Linked DNA regions of Lonchura striata. The main gene of each other region encodes a partner of the protein of the gene in region 3 in a complex. Links are inferred from orthologs where the notes say so. Each region holds a gene or a part of one and is shown on either strand. Other genes may lie near its edges. The genes, in order: SNRPD1, ARMC7, SNRPE and GEMIN2.

What was found.
Region 1: SNRPE (region 3) and SNRPD1 share a complex: the UniProt entries of both Homo sapiens proteins name them as parts of the SMN-Sm complex. The link is inferred for Lonchura striata from reciprocal best matches to the Homo sapiens genes SNRPE and SNRPD1.
Region 2: SNRPE (region 3) and ARMC7 share a complex: the UniProt entries of both Homo sapiens proteins name them as parts of the minor spliceosome. The link is inferred for Lonchura striata from reciprocal best matches to the Homo sapiens genes SNRPE and ARMC7.
Region 4: SNRPE (region 3) and GEMIN2 share a complex: the UniProt entries of both Homo sapiens proteins name them as parts of the SMN-Sm complex. The link is inferred for Lonchura striata from reciprocal best matches to the Homo sapiens genes SNRPE and GEMIN2.

The regions. Positions count from the first base shown.
Region 1 is NC_134603.1:111,362,160-111,369,589, reverse strand, and holds the start of SNRPD1 (small nuclear ribonucleoprotein Sm D1), read left to right. Parts: upstream 1-4,407; 5' UTR 4,408-4,521; coding exon 4,522-4,535; intron 4,536-5,118; coding exon 5,119-5,195; intron 5,196-7,430. Other genes in the region: SACM1L (phosphatidylinositol-3-phosphatase SAC1), read left to right, coding at 47-139, 814-871, 1,558-1,694. UniProt on the Homo sapiens protein: Plays a role in pre-mRNA splicing as a core component of the spliceosomal U1, U2, U4 and U5 small nuclear ribonucleoproteins (snRNPs), the building blocks of the spliceosome.
Region 2 is NC_134621.1:5,395,062-5,402,789, forward strand, and holds ARMC7 (armadillo repeat-containing protein 7), read right to left. Parts: upstream 2,817-7,728; 5' UTR 2,669-2,816; coding exon 2,602-2,668; intron 2,528-2,601; coding exon 2,384-2,527; intron 1,549-2,383; coding exon 1,211-1,548; 3' UTR 519-1,210; downstream 1-518. UniProt on the Homo sapiens protein: As a component of the minor spliceosome, involved in the splicing of U12-type introns in pre-mRNAs.
Region 3 is NC_134632.1:2,737,544-2,743,963, forward strand, and holds SNRPE (small nuclear ribonucleoprotein E), read right to left. Parts: upstream 2,525-6,420; 5' UTR 2,454-2,524; coding exon 2,400-2,453; intron 2,091-2,399; coding exon 2,064-2,090; intron 1,672-2,063; coding exon 1,609-1,671; intron 1,377-1,608; coding exon 1,298-1,376; intron 672-1,297; coding exon 616-671; 3' UTR 501-615; downstream 1-500. Other genes in the region: ZC3H11A (zinc finger CCCH domain-containing protein 11A), read right to left, coding at 5,880-6,144. UniProt on the Homo sapiens protein: Plays a role in pre-mRNA splicing as a core component of the spliceosomal U1, U2, U4 and U5 small nuclear ribonucleoproteins (snRNPs), the building blocks of the spliceosome.
Region 4 is NC_134608.1:23,823,858-23,831,104, forward strand, and holds the start of GEMIN2 (gem-associated protein 2), read right to left. Parts: upstream 3,011-7,247; 5' UTR 2,973-3,010; coding exon 2,851-2,972; intron 2,343-2,850; coding exon 2,258-2,342; intron 1,092-2,257; coding exon 1,002-1,091; intron 1-1,001. UniProt on the Homo sapiens protein: The SMN complex catalyzes the assembly of small nuclear ribonucleoproteins (snRNPs), the building blocks of the spliceosome, and thereby plays an important role in the splicing of cellular pre-mRNAs.

The DNA.
Region 1 (7,430 bases), on a different chromosome or scaffold from region 3:
AAACATTGCTATGCATTCGAACTCTTGCCTTCCCTTTCTCTTCCAGGATGCGATTGATCTTTTTCTTGGAAATTATTCAGTAGATGAAGTAGAACCTGCTAGTCCTTTACATGTCAAGAAGGATTGGAAGTTCTTAGCTGTGAGTATGGAGACTTTATTTGTAATAGGAGAGACAACAATTCAGTCCCTGGCTTCATTTTGCCTGAGTAGGACTTGTCTGTTAGTCATGAAGCATCCCTGTAATCTGGTAATGTTTCTATGATACCTGCTTATAGGATTAAACCCAGACTTTTCCCTTGACAGAAAATGGAGTGTCCTTGAGGTATTGGAAAAACTACTCTTTGCTTTTTTTCAAATGTGCTTCACCAGGTGGAAGGGGGGAAATTCTACTAGTCACTATCAATGAGTGTTTCCTTATACAGAAGAATCTTGTGGACTTCTTTTCTCGCACTTCTTGCAGAAGCATAGACTGTAACACAAAACACCCATTTTTTTCATTTTTCTTCACCTTATCTTTCTATTTTGAAATGGCATTTGGGAACATAATGGGGTTTAACTGGTGTATTTTTTTTAAAACAAAGCATAAGCCTCAACCTCTCATTTAATGCACAGGAAGTGTATTTCAGTTTTAAATATAATTATTGAATACAGTCTTCCAAATTTTGGAACTGTCCAAACTTTTATTTGTACCTGAATGCAGGTGAATTGAGAAGCAAAGCAAGTAAATAGCTTTACAGTACTACCCATCTTAAAGGAAATTAAGGAACATATTTACTGGTGTATCAAGTGATTATTCTGTTTCTCTTTCCTCAGTTGCCTATTATTATGGTGGTTGCTTTCTCCATGTGCATTATTTGTTTGCTAATGGCTGGTAAGTCACTATTGAATTTAATTTTATAAGACTGGGTTATTTCTCTGTGAACTTTGTGTAAATGGTTACAATAACTGTTCAGTGTAGAATTGCTTCTCTGTCATTCTAAAAGGTGCTTGAACATGGCTCTGGAGATTGAGGTTTAGCACTGTATCATTAGTGTGGAAAAATCTTAGGTGCTGTAGAATACAGTGTTAAGACTCATGTAGAAGTCAATTAAGGGACAGTTAATTATCCCCAAATCTAGATGCACCTTGGTAGACCTGTAGCTTTATCATAGGCTGGATGAAGCCCCAGAGGAATACCTGTCTAATTTTGGGCAGAAAGACAATTCAGAGCGGTCAGATACAGGCATAAGCCTGATTCTGATGGACTTCCTTTTAATCTAAATCTGTGTTGGGAGTGGTGAAGGGTTTTTGCCTCCTGCTTTTGCCTTGAATTTTTTTACATTATTGCCAGTAGAGTTCTTGACTGACTTCCACAGATCTCTGTTCAATGTGTTCCAAGAACTGTGTGGCAAATACAAATATTCCAAGGCAAGGAAACGGAAGATCTGTGGAAGACTTCTGATTTCATTTGACAACAGATTTCTGAGGGAGAGCTTGAAATATTTGCATTTGTCCTAAAGTAAAACTGTCTGCTAATTGGAGATAATGAGCTAAAAGCTTTGTCTGACTCTTTCTCAGGTGATACATGGACTGAGACACTGGCCTATGTGCTTTTCTGGGGAAGTGCCAGCTTTGGAACTTTTGCTATCATCCTTTACAACGGCAAAGATTTTGTAGATGCACCCAAGCTGGTCCAGAAGGAGAAGATGGACTGAATTTGTGTGTGTGGAAAGCGGCTTGGTACTGAGGATTCTTCAAGCCACACTTGGAGTCTCTACTGACCTGCTTTCCACACCAAAAAATGCTCTTATGAACATTCTTCCTTGGCAATGGGGGAGGGGTCAGGGGTAAGGAAACGGTGTCCTGTGGTGGTGGTAGCTTTCAACTGAGACCTGACTTGACAGTCTTAGTTGCAATGGTCTTTGGAATATTGCATTAGTGGGCAGGGCTCCACTCTTACTGGAGTAGTGCAAAGACAAAAGCCAGCTTTTTGGTTCTGGAATGCCTTGGAGCTTAAGTGGACTGCTGAAGCTCATGCTCCACCTGGGTTGTTTCAGCTGGTTTTTTGGCCTTGACAGGAGAGAATTTTGATGCTGTTAATGTCTCAAAATACCCAAATGTTGAAGCATTATTAATGGAACATCTGATAGGGATCTCTGAACAAATATGGCTTCTTACCAATAAAAAGTCTTGGTCCAGATTTACAGCTGGATTACGTTTGTTGTGATAAAGTCTGTGTTAAGGAGTCTTTCGTGCATATTTGTGTGTGGATTCTTTTCACTAAATATGAAAGATTTATGAATCCTAATGCTATTCTAAAATGAGGTTTTTGTCCTGTCTTGTTTATCTAGAACTGATGCAATATTCTGCTAATCATTGTTTGGGTGAAAGGGCAGTGTAATTGGATGTTCCTGAAGTTGCAAATGTCTTGCACTGTTTCAATACTACAGTCTCCATATGAAAATCGAGTAGTTAGTGAGTTAAAATGTAGAATTTTATTTCTGAAGATGTAAACAAAATCAAAGAATGTAAAAGTCCTTTGCAGTGTTTATTCAACCTTCCTTATGCTAAAGTTCCAAAGTACTTCATTATTTTAAGAATGGGTCACAACATAAAAGATTAACTTCATATTGTTTTGCTAGTCAGCTGCTTCTATCCTTGGTTATGTTGAAATAATTTATGAAAGAAGGAATAACAGCCTGAGAAGAAAGCGGTAAGTCTAAACTCCGTATTTCTGCTTGGGAGCAGCAGCTTGCTTTTCATGCATGATACTGTAATACACTCTTTTAAGAAAAAAAAAAAAAATGGAGGAAAAAAACTGCAGACTAATTTGTGCTGGTTAATGTGTGTCTTTAAATTTAGTGCTTCCAAGCTGTATAAAAATAAGGACCAATTTTAAACTATTTTGTCACTTATTTTATATGGTTTGTTCAAAACCAGACATGGAACTTGCTTAAGGCGCTGTGCATTGTTTAATATTTCCTGTAAGTACAGCTGTATATTCAGATTGCAAATATAAAATTTAAATGGGGGGAAGGGACAAAAATGTAGAATACTACTAGGGCTAGCACAGGTGTCATTATTGAAGCTAGAACACAAAACACTGATACTCCAGTGTTCCTTTGTGTCATGACTGAAAATATGTACAGATTTTTTTTTTTTTTCTTCTTCTTTTTGCAACTGTTCATTTTAACCTTGAATGTTTCTGGAGGCCTCTCTGGGTTTTGTGTAAACATAACCTGTTTATGAGCACTAGTACTTGCAAGGTATCAGTTTGCTTCTAGATGCTGTAATGGAAAAATACCAGTTGGTGGCTAACTAGGAAGTCCTCCTAACTTAAAATTTTCAAAGGTGAACTCCCTCATGGGCACAAAGTATAAGAACATCATAGATTCAATATTTGAAAGCAATGGTTCTGGTGGCTCAATGGCAGGTGGAGTTTGAAACTTGGCTCAGTTGTCTTGCAGCCTAGAACTGAGTTGTGCATCTTTGGTAACGAACTTGTTGCAGCAAAGACCAAACTTGAATTGCTAATATAGAAGGTTTGTAAGACTTAGAATAACGTAGGTTTTAGAAGTTGGAAGGCACCTGTGTTTCAGTGCTTTGCAAAGACTCTGTATTTCTAAAATCACAAATGGTGTACTACTCTTCAAATACAATAAAATGTTCAGCTTTTCTACATTGCTGTCTGCAGTGCATTTTGTACTTTGGAGCAGACTGTTCCCAAATCGGAGCTGTTTCACACCTGAAGGCTGCTTCAGTTTTGTGTGTGCTCATTGTTGCAGGTGGGAACCATCACTCAAACAGGGCTGATCTGGGGCAGTGTCTGATCCAGTCTGCACTGTGAGATGTTCACTCCTCTCAGACATGGCTGGATCTCTCTCTGGAGCACCTGTGGCTGGAGTGCTCCAGCGCTGCATCCCCAGGGTCACCTCTGCTCAGGGCCGATGGCTCTCTGTCTCTTTCCTCACAAGGGCACTTCAGTGCCTTATTGGCCATACCAATAGGTGAAAATTCTTGCTATTACAGCTCTGGATCCTGAAGCTGTAACTTTTATCACAATAAATTAGTGCTTTACAGGTTCTAGGCCTTGGATTTCTTTTCCTATTTGTAAAGCTCAAAGCAGGTTTAAAATGAAGTACACTATTTGATTTTTTTTCTAACATTTATTTTTAATTAAGGACGGCAAGCTGGTAGTTGTCAAACCTTACAAAAAGCCAGGCTTTCATAGACCAAGTCCCCTCACTCCTATTCGTATCTCCTTCCCACCATGCCCATTCTTTTTCCCCGTCCCTCTTTTCCATCCTCTCACCTTTTCCCCGCCCTCTCCCCCCAGGGGCGGCAGCAGGCGCTGCTCGGCGCTCGCCGCGGGTCCTCCGGGCCGCTAGGGGGCGCTGTCGCGGCAGCGTCCCGGCGAGCGCGGCCGGCGCGGCCTATCCGAGAGGCGCCTCCGCCGCGCCGTGCCCGCGGCTCTCCGCTCGCCCGCGGCTCTCCGCTCGCCGGGGCTCCCGCCCGCCGCTCCGCGCCCGCCCGCCCGCCGCCATGAAGCTCGTCAGGTGAGCGGGTGGGCGCGGGCAGGGGCGGATGGAGGCGGATTGCCCGCGCCCGGCCGCGGCGGCAGCGCCGGGCGAGCCCGCGCAGTCCGGGCCGCCCCGCGCTCTCCCGCCACCGCGGGCGGGAGCGGGAGCGGCCCGGGATGGGCCCGGCGGGAGCGGCCCGGGATGGGCCCGGCGGGAGCAGCCCCCTGTGCCGGGCCGCTCCCGCCCCGGGACTGCGCGGGTCGCTCGGCAAAGCACCCCCCTCCCCCACCGCCTTTCATTTTTGGAGGGAAACGCCGCGGAGTGCGTTAGCGTTGCTTTCCCGGGATTGTAACGATTTGTAAAATGGTTCCCTCTTTGTACAATAATGGCCGTTTCGCCTGGAAGTGGATGCTGGACCCGGCAGTGTGTCACTCAGGCGTCCCAGCTGCCGGTGGTTGGGCAGGACGCGGAGTGTCTCTGAACATCCCCAGCAGAATTCCTGAGCGCCGTCTTTGGGAGCTCAGGATGCCGAGCTGCTTGGTGCTGCCTGTCGAACGCGTACGGCTTTATGTGGGATTGAACGGGTCTGGAGTTTTTAAAAGGCGTTTTTAATTCACAGGTTTCTAATGAAGCTGAGCCATGAGACTGTGACCATTGAGCTGAAGAATGGGACGCAGGTGCACGGAACGATCACAGGTAGGGCAGGATGCAGCAAATACTGCCCCGCTGCCTTTCGGCAGACAGTTTACAGCCGCGGCTCGGATGAGCTTTTTGTCCTGTGCTCCCTCTTGCGGGGACCAGCACGGGGAAATGCAGGAGATGGGCTTTGTAACTCAGAGCTTTGTGTGCAAGGGCGAGGTGTGTTTGTGTTGCAGGAGTGTCTGGATATTGTTGGGGGTCGCTGGGAACAGCTGGGAGCTGTGACCAGCCACTCCATAGGCAGCCACAAAAGTACTTGGGAAATTCAGTGGGTCACGGATTGTCTTTGATGTTTAGTAGTGAGTGAGTCCATTCACTACTGGTGGACTGAGATTTCTTTGTTTTAAAGGTTTTGCTGGGAGCCTCTGAGCCCAGCTGCAGCTTTGCCTGCAGGCAGGCTCGGGGGGAAGGAAGCGAACTCTTCCAAACCTTGCTTGGCAGTCTCTTAGAATTTTAGTAGCACGGTCACAAAATGGTTTGGGTTGGAAAGGACATTAAAGATTATCCAGTTCTAACTCTCTTCCCAAGCACAGGGATAACTTCCAGTAGACCAGGTTGCTCAAAGCCCCATCCAGCCTGGAACTCTGCCAGGGATGGGGTATCCACAGCTTCTTTGGGCAGCCTTTTCCAACTGATGTGGTCTGAAATTGGTTAAATTTTGCATGTAGACTAAAAAATAAAGTAAATTATTTCTGTTGAACACGTTTTAAGGCAGATCTAGATGGAAATGCATATTTGCATATGTTTGATTGCATGAGAGGCAGGTTTGAGAACGGCAGAGCCGGGTGTGGGATACAGGGCAAAGAGGAATCCTGGCCAAGAGAATCTGCTCTCCCGGTGCTGCCAGAGGTCTGTCCTGTGGGTTCCTAGGAATTCCTGATTACCAGGTGCTTCTTCGTACCACTGAGCTGAAAGTTGCAGAGAATTCTGAAGGGTTCATTATGTAGTTCTCAGGTATTAAAACATGTGCAAGCGAATTTGTTTGCTTTAATAACCTCAGTGAGGAACGTTGTTCTGAGTGTTCTGTGAGCTGTGCTTGGAGACAGCAGGAGGGATGCAGGTGGGGCACGTTGTGTTTAATGAGGCAGACCTTCACAGCTGAGCTGAGGAAGCCACTGCATCTGCCTTCCTAAACTCACCCCCAGGCAGCTTTCAGAAGCTCTTCTGCCCAGGCACTCTTGGAAAATAAAAAGTTACAACTCTTGTTAAGTCTGAATTTTATTCTAGAGGATTGCTGAGGTACTTTTTTGGCCAACAACAATCTGTGGGGATTTGGCAGAGTTCAAAACTGGCATTAGTTTGCAGCCAGGTCCATCAGTTTTTATCGGAGCTGAGTGAACCACCTTGGTTCCCAATGGCAGCGCAAGCTGCTGAACCCAGCCAGATGGGAAGCTAACACTGCTGGTTTCCTTACCTCACTGCTCTTTCAGGCTTAATTGCCTAGCAAAGCCTCTCTCATTTGCTGCTAAGAATCCACAAAAACATTGCACAATATCCTCATCCTCCCAGCTCCAGGGCAGGAGCAGGGCTGAAGGCGCAGGTTTTGTGTAATGCCCCTCACACCAGCCAAGGGACTGGGTCAGTTGGAGCTGTGTAAAATCAAGAGGGAGGAGAGAGGAGAGAGGACAGAAAATAAAGTCACTGTCATCTTGATCTTCATAGCTGGAGGTCAGATCTCACCTAAAGCTCTGCATATGCAAAATAAAAACTTCTGGGGGTTTTTTTATTGCTTCTCAGAGCTGTTACACAGTAAATGCATCCAACTGAGATGTTTTTTTCCAGTTTGGAATTATGCATAACACAGCATAGTGTGCACAATACTAATTCCATACAAGTCATATGTACTGGCTGTTCTCAGACTTTGTAACCACAGTGGCTGTTTCTTGTTGTGGGGTATTTTATGGACTTTCATAGAGAATTCACTCTGGTGTTGAATGTATTTTATCAGAAGGTAAATGTTGCTTTTGTGGTTGGATTCTCCTGAGGCTTACAGAAAAAGGAAATGACCCAGGTTATTTTTCCTCCTCCAAGATTTATTTTACTTCTTTTTAAAGGACTAAAGATTAGTATTCGCCTTCTGTAATAAGCAGTAGTTTATTTGTTGTTTGGAGGAGTTATTTTAATTATTTACAAAGCAGCTATTGCCAGGACCTGGATAAAGATCTCTCACCATGAGGAACTAAAGGCCTCTCATGGTAACTGCCATAATTCAAGAGAGAAAAGAGATGTGAT
Region 2 (7,728 bases), on a different chromosome or scaffold from region 3:
AGGGGATGCTCTTCCCACTGCCAGGAAACAACCAGCCCAGCCCCTGCCATGCCCAGGAGGCTCTGTCACTGCAGGGATCAGCCACAGAAACGAGCTGCTCCTGTCAGACAGTGCTCTGTGTTTCTGGAAGATTGCTCTGCACCGTTCATCTCCTTAGTGTTTTGGATGTTTGCTGTTGGAGAAGAGAAACTATAAACTACAAGCAGCTGTGGTTGGATTTTTGTGTGTGTTTAACCTCATTCCTGTTTGGTTTGTGCTGTCTGGGGCCAGAGGGGAGAGAAGAGGAAGAAGGCTCTCAAATGTAAGCAGATCCAGTGTGGGTGTCTGTCAGGAAGCACTGAGCTCAAACCTTTTAAATTTTATGTATTTAGCCACCCTGGTTATGGGGTTTCCTCTTGCCTCATGGCTGATAATGAAAAGAGACTAGGCTGGCTTCGATTTTTTGGCCCTTGTGCTTGAGTAAGAGCAGGCAAAGGCTGCAAGTGCTGGAGAAAAATATTCATTAGCTCACACAGAAATGATTACACAGCATTTAAGTTAATGTTTTATTAACAGAAGCTTTTACAAGAGAGCTGTTCTCATGAGCCAGGCTGTCATGAGCCCGTTTTTTTTTTACTTCACCTTTCTCATCAGTGGTAATAAAGACAAACTTAGCACTTCTTCATTTATAGGGCAGCTACAGCCTGCCTACCCTATGTAATGATTCCCTAGCTGGCTGCCTGTGCCACAATTAGAGGATGGCATAACTAGTGCCACAGGGATGGAGAGATTGTGAACGGGGCAGGGAAACTCCTTTCTCTGAAGGAAGAATACCTTTCTGTGACATTTCAGTGACTTGACACTTAGCGTCACTTGTCACAGACACTTAAGGGGAGAGGTGTAGCACAACCAGCCAGGAACCGGAGTGGATATAATTCTGCTCAATAACCTGAGCAGAACACCCCTCTTTACTGGGAAGTGTTATTTGTGCAAACCGTGTGCTGAGCTGCAGTTGGCAAAGCACTTTCCAATGTGCAGCTATGACCTGCTTTATTTTAAATATTTGCAGGCTTAGCTGAACGCTTGGCCCAGCTGCTGTGTTAGTGCTGTTCCATCCTGTTTGTTAACTAAACACCAGCACTGGTGGCACCAACTCCTCTCTTTAATGCTGCTCTTGACCTGCTGAGCAGAAAGGGAGAACAACAGGAGGTTCCCCTCTCCACAGCCCTGCTCAGTCCTTGGGCAGAGGAATGCCCACTGCCGTGTGCTTGCTGAGGTTCCTGGCCTCCTCCACCTGTGGAGGGCTGCAGTAATCCTGCAGGAAGATGGATGCCAGGTTACTGAGGCGCGTGTTGGCCGAGAGCGAGAAGCGGAGCATGCATTCCACCACGGGCAGCGCCGTGGTCTGCGCGCGCGACCGCGGTGTCGTCAGGAACATCAGCGTGGTCACGGCTGACACCACGGTCTCCTCGTTGGAGCTGGACAGGCAGTTGATGATGGGCTCCACCCCGTTGGCCTCCAGGATGTACTCTTTGTTTGTTTTATCCAAGCACAGGTTGCAAAGGCCACCTGGAACGGCAAGAGGAAAGTGTCCGAGGTGACGCAATTCACAGCTCATCCTATTTCTATCATCCAGATCTTCTGGATGGATGGAAAATTCTTAACGATTCCCTAGGCTGTGCGTTTTTGATTGTTTCCAGCGATTTTCCACCAGCACGCTCCGGCTGCCTGTCATTAGAGGGCACTGTTACTGCTGCACATAACTGCTCCCACACAATGATTCCAGGAACGCTCACTCATCCCTAAGGGAAGACACAAGCCAGCAGTTTTATTGCAGGTGCTATAGAAAGCCAGAGAATGGAGGTAACAGAGTTAGCAGTCAAGAAACACAGAATGTTTGAAACTTGAAACTTTTGAGATGCAGACACAAACCTTAAAAATCAAATCCATTTAGTATCATCTCACAGAACCACTCACAGCATCTGGCCTTTTAGCTTATGTTCAGACAATGAAAAATCGTGGTAAGGTAGTTCCTCAAAAGATTTATTAAAATTGTCAAGTAAGTATTCTAGAAGACCAGTTGCCAATATCAGAATGGTTACATGGATCTGTACAGTGTACCTGGCAAAATATATGTATTAACAACTGCTTCTCTACAGGACAGATTTCAGTACAAAGTTAATCAGGTAGTGTTTAGGAAAAAAAACCACGAAACAACAAAATCTTTTCCAGATAGTGTCTTCATTAAGCTCTGCAAGGACATGGAAGACACACCTGCCTCTGACTTCTCTCCCATTGTGCACTAAACGAGGCTTTATCAGCACAGTGTGGGTTTGTTTTTGGAGCCCTGGGTGACTCTGGGGCAGGTTAAGGACCAGACCTAGGGTGCTGGGGCAGCGCTTACCCATGGCAAACTCCACGAGGCTCTCGTTGTCCTCCGTAAGCATATCGAGGAACAGGTCCAGCACCTGGAGCTGCCGGAGATACTCGTAGTTGCTGGGGTCGTAGGCGAAGTTGGCCAGGTTCGCCAGCACCTGCTCCTTGGCCTCTGCAGGGGAAAAGGGTCGGTGCGTGAGGAAGCGGTCGGCGCGGAGGGGGCGAGCGAGCAGCGGCGTTTGTTACCTGTGCTGTCCGTCACCTGGAACTCGGTGACGAGCGCCTGCAGGTACTCCAGCCGACCCAGTTCCATCGGGGCACACCGCACGGGCTGCCCGTTGCACCGGACTGGGTGCTCCGAGGAATGGAGACGACACGCCCGCCTCAGCGCGGCGGGAGCAGCCCGCCCGCCGCCATTTTGTGGGCGGGACACGGCGGTGCCAGCTCCCCTCAGGTTGCCGCCATTTTGTGGGCGGGACAAGGCGGTGCCAGCGCCCCTCAGGTAGCCGCCATTTTGTGGGCGGGACAGGGAGGTGCCAGCGCCCCTCAGGTTGCCGCCATTTTGTGGGCGGGACAGGGAGGTGCCAGCGCCCCTCAGGTTGCCGCCATTTTGTGGGCGGGACAGGGCGGTGCCAGCGCCCCTCAGCGGTCGCCATTTTGTGGGCGGGACAGGGAGGTGCCAGCGCGCCTCAGGCGGCCGCCATTTTGTGGGCGGGACAGGGAGGTGCCAGCGCACCTCAGGCGGCCGCCATTTTGTGGGTGGGACAGGGCGGTGCCAGCGCCCCTCAGGTAGCCGCCATTTTGTGGGCGGGACAGGGAGGTGCCAGCGCGCCTCAGGCGGCCGCCATTTTGTGGGCGGGGGGAGGCCCGCGCCCCAGGGGGAGATGTGGCTGTTCCGCAGCTGGCTCTCTCTCTAAATACATTATATATAATTATATACGTTCTATAAAAACAAATTAGCCTATGTCGAGGTATTTGACTGTCTCATTATATGGCAGAGCGTTGCTGTTTAAACGTGTGGTTTTGCAAAGCAGGTAACCTTTCCCCACTGATTTCTTACTCAAAGAATTTTCACCTCTGTGCTTGTGCTATTCCATCCTAATGCTGTTGTCCTTGGGGTAGTGTTGCTCCTGGATCAGTTCCAGTTTAAATAACGGGATTGTCATTCATGAAGCTGAGGGATAAAAAGTAAAAACGGGACACAATATGTGCACAGTGAGGGAAATTATCTGTGAAAAAAAAATGAAACAAAGCCAGGGAGTGAATTAAAGAGCAGCAGGTGATTCTAGCTTGGTTGTACAGTGGTTTAGGCACAGAGCAAAGTGAGTCCCTTGTTTTGAAGTAACACAGCTCGGTGAAACCACCACAATTTTACCTGCTGCAAGAGGGTTCAATTATGGTTCATGTTGTGTAAATATACAAGGTAAAGGTTAATAAAGATCATAAACTGTAGGAGTGGACTCTGCAGAAATTTGTACTGCTTTTATTGAAGCAATTACATGCATGGCTGTTCTGTGGATAAGGCAAGGAACAGGCCGTGAGAATTTTATTTTTTATGTTATCTCAAATACAATTGATTTTTATATCAAGCTAATTAGTCATGGACTGATCCACATGGCACCAGTGACAAGGGTGGTGGGCTGATAACCCACACAGCTGAGGGCACTGAAATATCTGCCCATTACTACAATAAATAGAAGGATGAGCAAAGAAGCTTCACTGAATGCAGTAATGCTAAATATTTTAACATTGTAATGGTGTAGGAAGATACAAAACATGAAACACAAAACATTTATTTCTATGTGGTATAAAAGTTTAAGCCAGGCTAAATGCTAACAACTTTAGCTCTTCACATGATTATCAACTGAAGTCAGTGTGTATTTATGTATATGTTTAAATATATACATGTATTTTTATCTGCATATTTGAATATATCTGAAAATTATCAGCAAGGTGGTACGAACTGTGTCTATATTAGAATGTTTTGCTAATGTAGTAAGAAATCTCCTCTAATGTGTGCCTTTATAAGTGGTAAGTGCTGCTGTACTTTAAATCCTCATCTATCATTAAACAGAAGGTGAATGAGAAATGTGGGAAAGCAGGAGCAGAGAAAGCAAACACAGGGAGCTAGTCCATGCAAACAGAGCGCTGCTGGGATTGACTAATAATGGAGGGGGGGGGGGAACTGTGTTTAAAAAGGAAAAATGCAATTACTTCTGTTGGTAAGAACTGCATTTAACCCACCCGATATTGGCGGTACAGTTTAATGGTCTGAGTGCTCCAAGCAATGGCTGTTTGCCAGAGCAGTTCCCAGAGCAGGGGCTGATCTAGCCAGGGTAGTCACAGCTCCAGGGGCTATTCTGGTGACTTCCATAGCACACCGAAGCCAGAATTCAGGAAATTTAGATTTCTAGTAGTTGTTTCTTTTCTTATATCTACTAGATATGTCTGCAAGCAGCAAGACAAGCTCTTAAATGAAGTGATTTTGCACTTCAGAGGCGTCTTAGAGTGTGTAAGATTGCCGTAACCTTTATTTGGGGGTTATTGCTATTAAATGTATATAATTAATATTAAACTTTCTCAAGTATTACCCTGACAAAGAATCTTAGGCTTTTAAGGATCATGATCTTGCAATATGTTAGTGTGAATGTCCCCAGTGTGTTTCATTTCAGTGATGAAATGTGCTTCTAGCCAAAATGTTTATCTTGCAATAGTGAGAATATCTTCAATGATAAAGGGGGCAGGGGAGGGGCAAGAGAGGACATGGCTCAATTTTTGTGGCTCTGTTATTTCTCAGAGATTTGTAACCTAGCTGAGTTATTAGTGTTTGTCCCAGGGTTGTTTTACTGTCTGCAGGTGTTAAAGGAACTGCTTCGGTGAGGCTGCTGTTGCCTTGTGTAAAAGGCTGACCTTAAACAAATGAGGGGAATTTTTATCACTTTCTTTTCCTTCTGGTCCCCAAGATTCCTGAGTGTTGCTGCACCTGTAGGATCCCTCTGAGGGGGAATATTTATTATTCTGTAGCATGCTCAGGTCTCTCTTGGTATCCTTTGCCAAGCTCCTGCTCAAGGCAGCTTGGAGTCCAGGTGGGAAACACACATGGGAGAGGAGACCCATGGAAAGGAGAGGAGTTGTTTTCTCTGTTATGGGAACTAAGACATCATATTCACCTGTGGAAACACAGCATAAAATGTAATACTTCTTGACTGCTGAGGATTTGCTTCAAACCTGTGGGTTGTGGATTACTTTTAAAGGCTCTGTGGAAAGTAACCAGGGGAGACAAACCTGTTTTCAGGCTTAAGTTCTATTAGAAAGGTTTCAGTCAGCAACTTAAGAAATGTTAAAATAACAGGTTTGTGAATTTGTTGTTTTTCTTCCCAGAAACCTCTCTCTGCACCTGCGAATAAGTCCCAGTGACCCCAGAGATAAGTCTGGGAGTATCAAAAAACACTTCTGAAAAGTGTCATCCATCCTAAATTATCTTGCACAATCAAGAAATTATCAAAACAGGTATCTTTGCCTTGGTGTAGGAGGAGCTGATCTCTGTGTCAGCTTCAGTTGGTGAAGATTTTTTGGTTTTGCCCTGTACATTTCCTTTTTTATGAAGCAGCCAAGGCAAAAGCATTACAGGTGGATCAGCTGGCTCTATGCAGGAGGTGCCTTCCATTGCTCCTTCACCTAACCTTTGTTTCCTGTCAGAAATTTTGGTGGATTGTAGCTTACACCATATCTTGCCTATTTTGTCCAGGACATTTGTAGCAATGAGAGGATCTGGGGCCACATAACCTCATATTTCTGTAAGAAAACAGAAAGGGAGTGTAGAAAGGTGAACAGAATTTAAAATTTAAGAATTACAGAGAAAATGGCAACCTGTTCAGCTGCTTAGCTGTTTATTTGCAATAGCTAGAAGAAATTAGGGATTTAATCCCTTTTTATTGCTTTTTTGTGAGAAAGCCTCTTCATTTTCTTAGGAATGTATAGAAGTCTCTTTTGGTAAGCTGAGAAGCACCAGTCCCTCTTTACTTCATAGTTATGGATCGTGTAAGCATTACATAAGTTAATAAACACATGTGATGAGAGATCAGATATGTATGTCTCCCCCTAACCATCTTATTTAAGTATAGGTTTGTTCAGGAAATGCAAATCCTCCTGGGTCTGTAATCCCAAGACAGTATTGAGCTGTAGGAGCAGGAGCCTGTCTGAAGGGCTGACTCCCGTTTTGTGTAAAAGCCACCTGTTAAGCCATTGTAGTCTCTGAAGAACGTGGAGTCAGTTTTTGAATGGTTTCATGCAAAGTGTTTTTTTTTTAATTGGTTTGTTTGTTTTTTCTGGGGAGCTCTAATGAAAGCTGTGGGTTTGTCACTAGGAACGTGTTAGGACAGTTCTCCAGATAAGCACTGCAGCTGAGTTATAACAGTTCTTAGACAGGCACTGCAGTTCCATTGAAGGCTGTTACTTCTTCCATTTCACTCCCATTTTGTGCTTCCATCTTTTTGATTGTTCTGATGTGTTGGGTTATCTTTATCCGTGTGCTTCATGAGCTGTTATCTGTGTCTGTTGGATCAGGGATGACACAGAATATGAACAGTTTGCATCTTGAGCTGATGCTGAGGCTGCTGCAGCCATTGTCTGAGCAGAGACAAGCCTAAATCCTGGGAATGTGGCAGAGAAAGCCACTTACACTCAAGGCTGTATGGATAGAAAGTCAGCAACACTGGCTTTTTCCACTATGCTTCCCCCACAGATTTCTTTGTAAGTTCTGCTTCTATGAAATATAAGTTATGTTTGTGCAAAGTTCTCTATAATGGGAATGCTGGTGTAATTAGGTTCAAAAGTCTAAGACTAAAGAGCTGAACTGATCTCCACAAAGAGGAGCTACAGTTGCTTTGTATTTTGCCCTATAAAAGGATGCATATCCTTATTCATAGGTCTGATATTACCCTCCCTGCCACAAATTGGTTCCAGTTGATGCTGAAGAGTGTTTACATGAGCCATGAATCCTCTTTTATTATATATTAAACTGCACTTGAGATATCAGTAGTTACACAAAGTAGGCACTCGAAGGCATGGTGGGTTGGTGTGGTTTTTTTTTTTTTTGGTTTTTTTTTTTTTTTTTTTTGGGGGGACTCTGGATTTGAATTTGAAGGCTTTGAAACTGTCCTTGGCATGAAGAACTCCCGTGTATGCTTCATAGGAGAAAACAGTTTATCTTACTAGAGATTTGTCTGAGTTCTACAACCCATGCATCTGCTTTTGTATAATATTTAGAGATGTGGAAAATAATAGCACAATTCCTGTGGAAAGTGTTTGTCTTGCCACCCCCAACATGGGAAGCAAGCAGGAAGCCTGTGCACCAAGACTGTATATTCAGAT
Region 3 (6,420 bases):
TGGGAAAAAGGGATTTGTTTAGGGGTAGAAAGATTGGTTTGGGGAAAAAAAAAAGATTCTTATTGGGATAAAGGGGTTCATTTTTGGAGAAAAGGAATTGTTTGGGAAAAGGATTTTTTTGGGATTAAGAAATTGGTTTTGGGAATAAAAAAAGGATTTTTTGTGAATAAGGGACTTTTTGTGGGGAAGAAAGGCCTGGTTTAAGGAAAAAGGGATTTGGTTTGGGAAGAAGGAATTGGATATGGGATATCCAATCCATATCCAATTGGATATGGGATTGGTTATGGGATAACGGGATTTTTTTTTAAAAGGGATTTGTTTTGGGAAATGAAGGATTATTTTTGGGAAGAAGGGATTGGTTTGGGGAAGATGGGATTGGTTTTGGGATAAAGGGTTTGGTTTGGGAAAACTCGAACCCCCATTATCCTGAACCCCCCAGATCCAATCCCACAGGGGGAAAACCCTTGGAAAACATTTCTCCCTGAAACCCCGATCCCAGATTTTGTGAAAAAACAACCCCGTTTTATTGCCCAAAGTACAAAATCCGATTCCCCCGGGAGCTCGGGGGGTTCCCAGCGATCCCAATCCCGCTGGGGGGCCGGGAGCAGCCCGATCCTAACTGGAGACGCTCTGCAGGAGGGTGATGTTGTCCCCCTTCAGCATGATCCGACCTGCAACCAACGGCTCGGGATGGGCCTGTGGGGTGGGAGCGCCCCGATCCCGCCCGGCCCCGCAGCTGGAGCCCAATCCCACAGCTGGATCCCATCCCAATCCCACAGTTGGATCCCAATCCCACAGCTGGATCCCAATCCCACAGCTGGATCCCAATCCCACAGCTGGAGCCCATCCCAATCCCACAGCTGGATCCCAATCCCACAGTTGGATCCCAATCCCACAGCTGGATCCCAATCCCACAGCTGGAGCCCATCCCCACAGCTGGATCCCATCCCAATCCCACAGTTGGATCCCAATCCCACAGCTGGATCCCAATCCCACAGCTGGATCCCAATCCCACAGCTGGATCCCATCCCAATCCCACAGCTGGAGCCCGGCCCCACAGCTGGAGCCCATCCCAATCCCACAGCTGGAGCCCAATCCCACAGCTGGAGCCCAATCCCACAGCTGGATCCCATCCCAATCCCACAGCTGGATCCCAATCCCAAAACCTGGATCCCTGTCCCAAAACCAGGATTTAAGGTCACACATCCAGGTTCCAGGACCCACCCCCGGAGTTTTGGGTCCCAGTCCCGATTTGGGGTCCCAGACCCTGATTTGGGGTTCTCTCCCCCTGCCCTACCCAGCTGCTTCCTGGCCTTGGTTTTGGAGTGAATCTCCTCAGCATCGTCCAGCACCAGGTTCATGTACTCGTCAAAGCCCTGCTGAGCAGCACCGGCCTCAGAAACCCCAAAAGACCCCAAAAACCCATACAAAACCCCCCAAAAAAACCCAAAAACCCACACAAAACCACCCCCCCAAAAAGCCCTCAAATCCCCTCAAAAAACACCCAAAAAAAACCCAACCTCCTCATAAAACTAATAACAAACTCTCAAAACCCCAAAAAACCCCCAAACCCCCCCAAAAAACCCCAAAGCAGAATGGGGCACTCACGATGATGCAGCCCTCAATCCTCATGTTCACCTGCTCATAGAGCCACACCTGGATCCGGGACCGCTGCAGAACGGGAACAGGATTTGGGGTCCAAATGGGATTTGGGGTCAGCAGGGCCCCAAAGGGGTTTGGGGTCCAGGGTTTGTCCCCACCCCAAATCTGTCTGCGGTCACCCCTGTGTGGGGTGGGACTGTCTGGCGTGTGAGGGGTTTGGGGGAATGGGGTTAAACGGGGTTTGGGGGTATGAAATGGGATTTTGGGGTAATAAAATGGGATTTTTGGGTGGGGTTTGGGGTTATAAAATGGGGGTTTTGGGGTATAAAACAGGTTTTTTTGGCATTATAAAATGGGGGTTCTGGGGTATAAGATGGGGATTTTTGGGGTTAAATGGGTTTTATGGGGTTAAAATGGGGAGATTTGAGGTCCCTCCCCCCCAGCCCGCTGCCGGCACTCACGTTCTGCAGGTAGCGGAAGATCAGGTTCTGGGGCCGGGGTTAAGGGCACAGCAGAGCCGGGGGCACGGGGGAAACGCTGAGGGGAACCCCTGAAGGGAACCCGCGGTGGAACCCATAGTGGAACCCGCCATTCCCTTCCCTTCTTCCCTTCCCTTCCTTCCTTCCCTCCATTCCCTTCCCTACTTCCCACCCGTCCCCATCCATCCCTTCCCTTCCCTTCCCTTCCCTTCCCTTCCCTTCCCTTCCCTTCCCTTCCCTTCCCTTCCCTTCCCTTCCCTTCCCTTCCCTTCCCTTCCCTTCCCTTCCCTCCCTCCCCGAGCGCTGCGGGCAGGATACGATGGGCTGCACCATCACCTTCTGCACCTTCTGGCCCTGCCCGCGGTACGCCATGGCTGCGCGGGGCCGCGGCGCTGTGAGGGCCAGGGGAGGCGGGCACGGGCGGTAATGGCGGCCGGAAGCGGGGCCGTGAGGGGCGGGGAAAGCGGGCACGGGCGGTAATGGCGGCCGGAAGCGGCGCCGTGAGGGGCGGGGAAGGCGGGCACGGGCGGTAATGGCGGCCCGAGCGGGGCACTGTGGGACACTGGCGCCGTGAGGGGCGGGCAAGGCGGGCACGGCGGTAATGGCGGCCGGGAAGGGGGCACTGTGGGACACTGGCGCCGTGAGGGGCGGGGAAGGCGGGCACGGGCGGTAATGGCGGCCGGGAAGGGGGCACTGTGGGACACTGGCGCCGTGAGGGGCGGGCAAGGCGGGCACGGGCGGTAATGGCGGCCGGGAAGGGGGCACTGTGGGACACTGGCGCCGTGAGGGGCGGGGAAGGCGGGCACGGGCGGTAATGGCGGCCCGAGCGGGGCACTGTGGGACACTGGCGCCGTGAGGGGCGGGCAAGGCGGGCACGGCGGTAATGGCGGCCGGAAGCGGCGCCGTGAGGGGCGGAGCGCGCAGGGCATTGTGGGATACTGGCGGCGTGAGGCCCTCAGGAGATTTTTACTTTATTTGTTTTTTTTCCCTATCATTATTTTTAGGATTTTTTCTCTCTTTGTAGGATTTTTTTGTGGGTTCTTTTTTTTTCTCTCAGTAGGGTATATTTTTTTTTTTGAGTGTGTTTTTTTAAATTTTTTTTTCTCTTAGTAGTTTTTTTTCGGGGTTTTTTTGCTCTTAGTAGGATTTTTTTCTCTTAATAGGTTTTTGCTTTTTTTCTCGTAGTAGAGTTTTTCTGGGTTTTTTCCTCTTAGGTTTTTTGGGGTTTCTTTTTGTTTATTTTTTGCTCTTAGTAGGGTCCTTTTTTTTTTCTCTTAGCAGGTTTTTTTAATTTTTTTTACGTTTTTTTTCTCTTAGTAGGTTGTTTTTGTGGGTTTTTTTGCTCTTAGTACGATTTTTTTGTTCTTTTTTTAGTAATTTTTGCTCTTAGTAGTTTTTCTTTCTCTTTGTAGATTTTTGGTTTCTTTTAGTAAAGTTTTTTTTTTGTTTTTTTTTTGTTTGTTTTTTTTTCCTCTTAGTAGGTTTTTTGGGGTTTCTTTTTTATTTTTTGCTCTTAGTAGGGTCTTTTATTTTTCTCTTAGTAAGATGGGGTTTTTTTGTTTATTTTTTTTGCTCTTACTAGGTTTTTTTCGGGTTTTTTTTGTGGGTTTTTTTGCTCTTTGTAGGATTTTTTTTTATTCTTTTTTTGGTTATTTTTGCTCTTAGTTTTTTTTTCCTCTTAGTAGGTTTTTTTCTCTTAGTATGTGGGGGGAGTTTTTTGGGTTTTTTTTTAAGGAATGAGATACTCGCTTCGAGGAACACCAAAATCTTCCAAAAAAAAGGAATTTATGGGTTTCTTATCAGAAAAAGCGAATTTCTTGTTTAATTAATCAAAAAATTAATCAAAAAAATCTGCTTTTTATTGTCTTCTAATTGTCCTAACTCTACACTTTATTACTCTAATTGTGTTATTAGTTTTATAACCGATTTATTATTAAAATTTAAAAATTTAAAAACTAAGTGTTGGGCATTTTTCACACTATTATTTAATTTGGTTTGAATAACCACAATTCATCTATAAATAAAACATTTGTTAGCAATGTTCCCCTGGCTTAGAGCTACAGCAGAGCTGCGCCCTTAAATACACAAAATTTTAAAATAAAGTAATTTTTGTGCTCTTACAGTGCTCGAGTTTTCCTGTTCATTTATCCCACAAAGTCACAAAAAAAAAGCAAAAAAAATTCCCTGAAATCTCTCCCATGTTCCTGTGGAAGATCCCAAATTCCCCTTGAGCCTCCTTTTCTCCAGGCTGAGCCCCTTTCATTAATTTTCCAATAAATTTCATTAATTTTTCATTAATTTTTCCATTAATTTCCAATAAATTTCATTATTTTTCCAATAAATTCCATTAATTTTTCCATTAATTTCATTAATTTCCAATAAATTTCATCAGTTTTCCATCAATTTAATCAATTTTACATCAATTTCATTATTTTCCAATAAATTTCATTATTTTCATTAATTTCCAATTAATGTCATTGTTTTCCAATTAATGTCATTAATTTTCCATTAATTTCATTAATTTTCAATTAATTTCATTAATTTCCCAATAAATTTCATTAATTTCAAATAAATTTCATTAATTTCCCAATACATTCCATTAATTTCCTAATAAATTCCATTAATTTTCCAATACATTTCATTAATTTCCCAATAAATTCCATTAATTTACCAATAAATTTCTTTTTTTTCATTAATTTTTCTTTAATTTCATTTTTCATTAATTTCATTAATTTCCAATATATTTCATTAATTTTCCAATAAATTCCATTTATTTTCCAATAAATTTCATTAAATTTCCAATAAATTACATTATTTTTTAATTAATTTCATTATTCTTCATTAATTTCATTATTTTTTCATTAATTTCTAATTAATTTCTAATTAATTCCAGCATTCCCACCAAACTTGTTGGATACCATTCCTTAAATCAAAGCACAAAACTCTGCAAGGACACCACAGTTGAGCAGCCTACCTTTAATCCCTTAAATAGAATCATACAAATATAAAATGGAAGAATAAAATATTTACAGGACCAAAAAAAAAAAAAACCAACTAAAATCAAAATAAACAAAAATGAAAAATAAAAATAAATCCACGGGGATTCCTCTCAATCCCATCTCCAAAATAGGTTGGAAAAGAGGGAAGCAGCCAAGGGGGGAATATTCCAGGTGGTTTTTTTGGGTTTTTTTTTGTTTTTTTTCCCCTCCCACAACGATCCCAGCTGGATGTGGGAGGTTCATTACAGGGAAAAATCCTCAAAATCCAGAGGCACTTGAAGCAATGCTCCTTTTCCCAAATTCCAGGAGGAATTTTGATTTTTCCACCATCCCAAAATTCCAAGAAAAATCCCCCTTGGATCGTTCGGAGCCAGGCTCACCCTGGCAGGGTTTGGTCCAAAATTCCTCCCGGTGTTTTTCCACCCCCGAATTCCCCCCAATTCCGAGTCCACCGTGGATTCCAGAGTTGACACAGTAACTCCAGGGATTTTTTTGGGGTTTTTCTGTCCAGGAGGGAGCTCTGCCATGGGATCTGTGTTGTCCCTCCAGGGAATTCCAAGTGCTCCGTCCCACGTGGGACAAACCCAACCAGGAATTTTGGGATAACTGAGAGCAGACTCTGCCTATTCCCACCAATCCAGCTGGGAAAGCATCTCCTGCACGGATCCAACAGCATTTCCAGCATTTCTTCGGGGTGCCAGGAGGAAATTTTGCTTTTTTAGGGGATTTTTTTTTTTTTGGCGTCGCATCTTTTTCCCCCCCCCCCTTTTTTTTTTTTTCCAATAAAAATCCTTCACTTTCAGCTGTCGATCATCTCGGAGAGTTCCAGCAGGAGATCATCCTCATCCTTGCCTGGATCCAGGTCGATTTCTGCCTCCAGTTTTCCCCCGGAGATTTCCCAGATGAGTTTCTCGAAGTCGTCCTCCACCGAGAGCGCGGCTTTGGCGCCGCCGGCTGAGCTCAGGCGCCGCAGCTTCAGCGGCGCCTCCAGGGATGAGGAGCAGGAGGAGGATCCCGACACCTCTGCCTGGGCCAGGGAATGCCCCTGGCTGCCAGGCTGGGGGCTGGCAGAGCAGGGAGAAGGGAGAAGTCAGCGCAGGAGGGACCCGAGGTGGAGTTTGGGGTTTTACAAAGGGGGTTAGGGAGGGTGGGAGGGGCTGGGATTGGGTTTGGGGGAGCTGGGATTGGGTTTGGGGGAGCTGGGATTGGGTTTGGGGGAGCTGGGATTGGGTTTTTGGGAACTGGGAATGGGTTTGGGGGGGCTGGGATTGGGTTTGGGGCAGCTGGGATTGGGTTTGGGGGAGCTGGGATTGGGTTTGGGGGAGCTGGGATTGGGTTTG
Region 4 (7,247 bases), on a different chromosome or scaffold from region 3:
GCAGAGTTCAGTGCTAGAGCAGCTCCTAGCTGGTCACACCTCAGTACTTGAGGGACTCTACAATGCAGTATCAATGCACTGTAAACATGCTGTCTGCAGCAGTGGAATCACAAATTACCTCCACCTATATTTTTATTATATTTTCAATTCATCCTGCTTGAACTGTGCATAGAGAATAATAGAATCATAGATTTGGGCTGGAAGGGGCCTTCACAGGCCATCTAGTCCAGCCCCTCTCCCATGGGCAGGCACATCTTCAACTAGCTCAGGCTCAGAACCCCATCCAACCTGACCTTTAGTGGTTTTGAGGGATGGGGCATCCACCCCTCTCTGGGCAACCTGTGCCAGTGTTTCACCACCTTCACTGTAAAAAAAATTCTTCCTTATAGCTAATTGAAATCAATCCTCCTTTAGTTTAAAACTTTAGCAAAGCTTAGCTGAACTTAGAACCTTTACCCTTTGAGACTGCTTATTTTCTGTTCTTGTGTTATTTCAAGCAGGGTGCAAATGTATCAGGAAAGATGAAAGTCTGTGCTAATTCTACAACCTTACAAATATGTTTTACCAAATCAGTATGTCTCCTCATAATGGGTTGCCACCTCTGTCAACAGGTTTCTAAATGCACTTTATGAATCTCCTGATGGGTTAGAATCCACTTTGTTCTTAGTTAATATTAAGTTCTGCAGAACATTTCCTGCTAGCACTATGTTTTAATATAACTGCATAACATCATAGGGGTTTTTGTCCTTCCTCAACCATGCCTTTTAATTTAATCAAAATACAGAGAATTTCTTAAACTTGACTCTCAAGAGTTTCATCAGAGGTTTAAAAGCCACACAGTATATGCTCAATTAGCTTTCAAGAACTTAAAACACTTGCCTATAAACTTCTATCCTGCAACAAAATCGCAACACTTCTCTACTAGATGTAAAGTTATCCCCTATAAAGCACAGATATGTTCTATCTAGACCATGCAAGACCCCTCACAGACTATCTTGTACCTGACGAACAGCTGAGAAATTGGCCACTTGCTGCTGCTGCCACTTGAGCGTTGGAGAGTATCCTTCAGGAGCAGGCTGACATCCAGAAATCTGAGAAAACACTGGTAATAATTATAATGTAAAGAGATCTGCATAAGAAGAATCCTTAAGGACAAGAGAATCAGTAAATGTTTACTATCAGGTCAACAATATCCTTGAACTCTCCATCTAAGAAAGGTAATTTCATGACCACATCCAAGGCTGAGTTAAGATTTTGGCTTAGACAAATTTGACACTTCTCATATGTACATAAGAAGGAAAACTAAGTGTTCAAAATACATTGTCAAATAATTACTTAAGGTCTTCCTTTCAGCAATTGTTCTGCTTTAATCTCCCTGCTCATAAAAAAATGGATGCAGCTTCCTTATCTGGGACAGATACTATCAATCTTAGGCAGTCTTCCTGTGAAGATAGTAGTTGAGGAAGACAGAAGACCATAAAACCATCTAGAAAATTAAATTTGATAGTTAAGTAGATATAACTGCTTTAAAGATTAGCATGAAAGGGTTATTAAACAAAATCTTTCTACAAGTGCTTAAGAATGTCACTACAAACAGATGAGACAGATGAAGAGAATGGCTACAGAAGTTACAAAGTCATATCAGTATTAGAAACTTTCTTTGAGAAATCTAGTAGGGCAATCTCAGATTACATCGTTGTCGTTGGAGAAAGGCAAACTATTTGAAAACAGATTAAAAACCAAGCTGGCAGGGCAATGCAACAACAGAAAAATCTGCTTCAACAGTAAGGAGAAGTTCCAATAAAATATTCCTTCCAAAAGGAAAGTGGTACTAGAATTTAATGTAACTTTAGTAAAGCTTAGCTGCACTTACTACCCTTATGCTAAATATAGACTTAAACCCAAAGACAGGTATGGATATGTTTTTCTTCTAAAATTTATGCAGGTTTAAATTTATGCAGGATTAAATAATTGTAAGATTTAATGCAACATTTGATTTCCTTACACAGTAAAATAGTCAGCTGTGTATCAAATAGTATGGGGATTATCAATTTAATAATTTAGAAATACTGCTGTTACCCAGCAGGTGAGCAGGGGTTTCTTCAAACACAGACATTTAATTCTGTAGATGCTTTTAGAATCTAGCAGTGCTATTCAGTTATGCCAATGACTCCCCCAAAGTAATACAAACATCATTATAGGAACATCTCTCCCGGTTTCCCCCCTACTCAAAACGTGCAAAAGCTCTCAAACTTACTGAAATGTTTACTGTCGGCTTCTTCTTCAATTTTCTGGGATCTATTTGCGCCACAACAACGTCAGGACATCGCGCTGCTTCAATCCTACAAAACAGAATCAAGTGGGCTGCATTTTTTTCTTTCATGTGACAGGTCGGTATATACCGGATGTCTTTGAAATACTCATAAAAATCATGGAGGGACCAATCAATATCATTGAGTCCAACTCCGTGCACACGACAGCCCAGAAATCACACCCTGTGCCCGACGGCGCTGTCCAAATGTTTCCCGAACTCTGTCATGAGCTGTTCAGTGCTCAGCCACCCTCTGGGTGAAAAACCTTTTCCTGATAGCCAGCCCAAACCTCCCTTGACACGGCTTCATGTCGTTTCCTGGAATCGTGTCGCCGGTCACGACAAGGAAGAGATCGGTGCCCGCCCGTTTTAAAGCAGGTGTTTAAACACCGGTGTGAAAGCACCGGCTGTGCCGGCGAGGGCAGCACGGCGCGGCCGCCCTGGCGCGCCCGAAGCCCGGCCCGGGCAGCACCGGCTGCCCCGCCACACTCGCGGAGAGGCGACGGGCCCGGGCCCGGCCCCACCGCCCCGCCACTCACTGGACGCGCTTCAGATACTCCTGGGGCGTCCTGGGAGGCACGGTGGGATCGAAGTCCTCGGCCAGGTCGCAGTCGCCCACGGGCAGCAGCCGCGGCATCAGCTCCTCCAGGCCCGGCTCCATGGCCCCGCGCGGCTCTCGCGAGAGCGGCGCTGCCGCGCGGCGCGCGCCTCGGCCCGGCGCCGCTGGGCGCGCCCCGCGCCCGGCGTCGTGGTTGTCCGGGCGGTTGTCCTCCCGCCGGGGAGCACAACAAGCATGGCCGAAGAGCAGCGGCAGAAGAGGGGTTGCCAATCCACTGCCCATCAAACTACGCCTATTTTTGTGGTGAAGAGGCGTAAACCTTTAATAGCTTCCTTCATTAGCCGCTGTGACATTATTCTAATATGCTGTAGTTTTTGCCAAAAATTCTTTAAAGCTCACCCGTTAGTACGCTCTTATTTTACTTGTGAAAACCCAGTATTCGTAATATTTGTCCCTTTCTTGAAATGCTTTGAGATCTGTGGTTAAAGTCAGTTATATAGAAGTTAATGATTTTAAATTTACAGAGTTCCCATTCTGGAAGGATCAATGCCTGAGCTGTTGCTGTATGAATTTTTCTGAAGACTACAATGTGAAAGCATCCACATGTCAGAAAGCAAGGTAGCATCTGTGTTATAAGTTGAGGCGAATAATTTGATTCAGCCTTTTAAGATCAATTAATAATTTTATTAATTACAGCAAGCGATAGCAAGCAAAACAGCGCTGGGTTCAGCTGGGAGCCTGGCTCCGCCAAAAGCTGACAACCTTTCCTTCTCTTCAGTCCCTTTTTATCTTGCATGAGTGGGGGTGATGAGTCTCGTTCCACCGTGGTTATCAGTCCCAAAAACAATGGATTTTACAAGTGGGGTGGTGTGTCTTCTTCCACTTCGGTTTATCAGTTTTCAGCAACAATGGGTTTCCACTGCGGTTATCAGTTCCAGCCAGTCCTGCAAAATCTTTCACAATCTTTGTGGTTACCAGTCAAGCCTGCAAATTCCATGTCCCGACTTCCCCCCCTTTTATCCTAATTTCATACTTTTGATGAACAAACAAGTCAATGCAGTTTCTCACATCTGCACAAAGGGGCATTGTTTCCCAGGTGAGACAAAAAGTGAAAGGGTGATGCTGTAATCATTTACATTGTGTATTATGAAATTCCTGTTACACAAATGTCCATCAGTATATTATCTCTTCAATTAGTTCTGCAGTGTTAGATTTAATATTTCAGAGTAGTTTGAGATACTTCTGACATAAGTTAAAAAAAAAAAAACAACGTTTTCTTTTTAACCCCCTGCAAGCCTGTATTTCAGTAGTTCTAAATAAACATCTGCCTTAACTCCTCCTCTCCAATGGCTTTTGTTTGTTTTAAATTGTTTCCAAAAGCACCTACGTGTACCAGGGAGATTTTTTTTCCTGAAACCCGGATCTAACGTCTTAGTTGAGTATGCAACAATTGCAGTCACCACTAGAAATAAAACTTGCCTACTTAAACCTACAGTGATAACTCTGGAAAGGCTGATGATCAAGACAAAAACTTTGGTGAGTCCAGCTATATAAAGTTCTTTTATAATACTTTAGTAATATTCAGAACTTATTTTTCCTATTTGTTGTAAAGTCCAGAACTACGAACTTCATAGAATCAAGCGAATCCACAGATATACGCTTCAAATATACTTCCTATCTTTAGATCACTTTTTATTCAACTTTCCATTGATACTTGTTAAGCAAAGCAACATATTTTTAATTATTGCAGATAGTATTTCTTACCAACAATGCTGATGCAATGGCTAGCAAATATGACTCAGTGGAGAAAGAGGAAAATGAAATTGGAAATGTATATATTTCTTCTCACCTGCTTAGGCATTAAGGAAGAGTGCCTTCCCCAAGAAAGGTTGCATTAATGGATATGCCTCATTGGCTAAAAAACCAAACCAAAACAAAGTAACATATAAATTCTGCATTATGAAAAATTAAAATGTTTTCAAATCTACATTCTAGATATGAATATGGAGAGCTAGCAAAATATTTTCTTATAATGAATAAATGAGTTTATATCTATTTTCTACTTTTCTTTCTCCTTGATTTTCTCTGTGGTTAGCAGCGTCATAACAGCTGCATGACTTTAAGTTTAGAGCATTGGACTGAGTTATTATGTAATGAAATTTAATTGTACTGAAGATTAATTTAAAATACTGAATATATTTTATTTGTAGTAAACTTTCAGAGTAGTATACTTTGCTGTTTTCCCTTCTTGCCCTTTGAGTGTCTTTAAATGTCAGATGCCTCTTTTTCTCTTATTTATAGAGTTCATCCTGCATTTTAGACTTCAGGACTTGCCTCTTTTTTGGGGAATTTTCTGAAAATGTTTCACAAGTTATTTGAATACTTTTGAAATTACAACACTGAGTAATTTGCTGTGCATCTGTTTGAAGTGTGGTAGGGTTTGGGGGTTGGTCTGTTTTTTTCTTTTTTTCTTTTGAGTTCAGGGTGAGGATGTTACATGTCATTGGCAAGCTCTTGCTTAATACTCCCACAAATGGCAGTGAGATTTGTGAACAAGAAAATTAAAAATCCCTCCCATAAATTCTGCTGTTGCTTAACTGTTCATGTTTTTAGTCTGAAGAGGACTGGTAAACCATACTGGAGAGAGCAATGGCAAAGAAATTCTATCATAATCACATCTGACATATAAAAAAAGAGGGTAAAGTTGTTTTAGTAATTTGTATTTGCTTGATGGTCACAGAATATTTTCCGAGTTGCAATGAAGGAGGCAGGATATGGTAGCCAGTCAGCAGAATGTTTTCCAGTCCTCCCCCATGTCTGGATTAATTGCACTACGACATCTCAGGAAAGACAGAAGTTATTGTTCTGGCCTTTCATGACAGCCTTGTGAAAAACAATTCCTAAAACTGAAGAGTTATCTGTTAACTTCAGTTTGTGGATAAAAAAGCTGACCACACTAACAAGATAAAGGATTGTTTCAGGTTTAAACCCCCAGGAATATAACTTCATTTTGTTTTTTCCCCAGGCACTCAGAAGAAACATCTAAACAATCTTCCAGATTAAGAAGTTGCCATAAGTAGTCATGGTGGAAGATGGGAATAAGCCCGGCTGTTTCGATCCCGGAGTTCGTGCCGGACGGAGCAGCCCCGCACAGAGCAGCGCAGCCACCGGCGGGGCCGCCGGCAGCCCCGGGGCCGCGGCACTGCCGCAGGGAGAGACGGCCAAACTGCCCCCGCTGATCGGGATGCACACGACCGACCTTCAGAAGACAGCCGAACAGGGTGGCCAACACACACACGCGAGCAGGAGCTGCCAAGGCGGCGGAGCCACGGTCGGAGCCGCGGGGCGGCTGACGCCGGCCGCGCTGCCCGGGCCGGGCAGGCCGGGGCGGCCGGCGGGCTGTGCCGGGGGCGGGCGGGCGGCGGAGCTCAGCCCGCCCCCGCTCTCTGCCCTTGACGTGGCGCGGACTCTCCCATCAGCCATGTTGGTGCGTCGGCGGCGCCGGGGCGGCTGCGGGCGGGCGGGCGGGGACAGCGAGCGCAGCGGGAGCGGCGGCCGGGACGCGGGTGAGCGCGCAGCGCGGCGCTGAGGGGGAGCCCGGCCCGGCGGAGCTGGGGTGCAGGGAGGGGAGAGGGGCAGCCCCTCCTCTCCCCGCGCTGGGAGGCACGGGCACCCGGCCCGCGGGGCCCCGCACGGCTGTGGGACCCGAAGGGAGCGTGGTGGGAGCTCCCCGCGCCTCCTCCGTGGCGCTGGGGGATCTCCGGGTGCCAGAATTGCTGTCGGGGCCCCCGGCGGCCTGAGAGTCCGGGGCTGCCGCCGGGCGCTGGTCAGCAGTGCCCGCGGCCTCCCGGGCCGGGCGAGCAGCCCCAGCAGCCCCAGCTCGGCCGGGGGCCGGCGGGCAGGGCCTTGAACGGCCGGGGTGAAGGGCAGCGCTCCCCGGCAGCGCCGGGGTGCTCCTGTCCCGGAGCTCCGCTGTAGCTGTGCCGCTGTGCCACTGACGAGGGTGCCTTCCAGTGTAGGTAAAACGAGAAATGCAGGCCCTGCTGCGTTTGATTATGCATTGCTTTTTTTTAAATTTAGGTACCGTAGTTGTTTAAAGTTTTCAGTGAGAGATCTGGGAGGGCAGATTTGGAGGAGGACTGCGTTTGAGTGGTGAAAATGTTAGCAAATTGCTTTAGATAACTATTTAAACTATTGTGCTCATGTATTTTAGTTCTTTGGAACCGAATTTGTATCTGGTATGTAATTTGGTCATAAAAAATGAATTAAGGGTTTATTATTAATCTCTTTTACCAGGTTGTTAGTGCCTAATAATTTGAGAGAAGAGGTGTGTTGTAAGAAAAGTGTGCAGTGAACTGTACTCATTTAGTGGTAGTT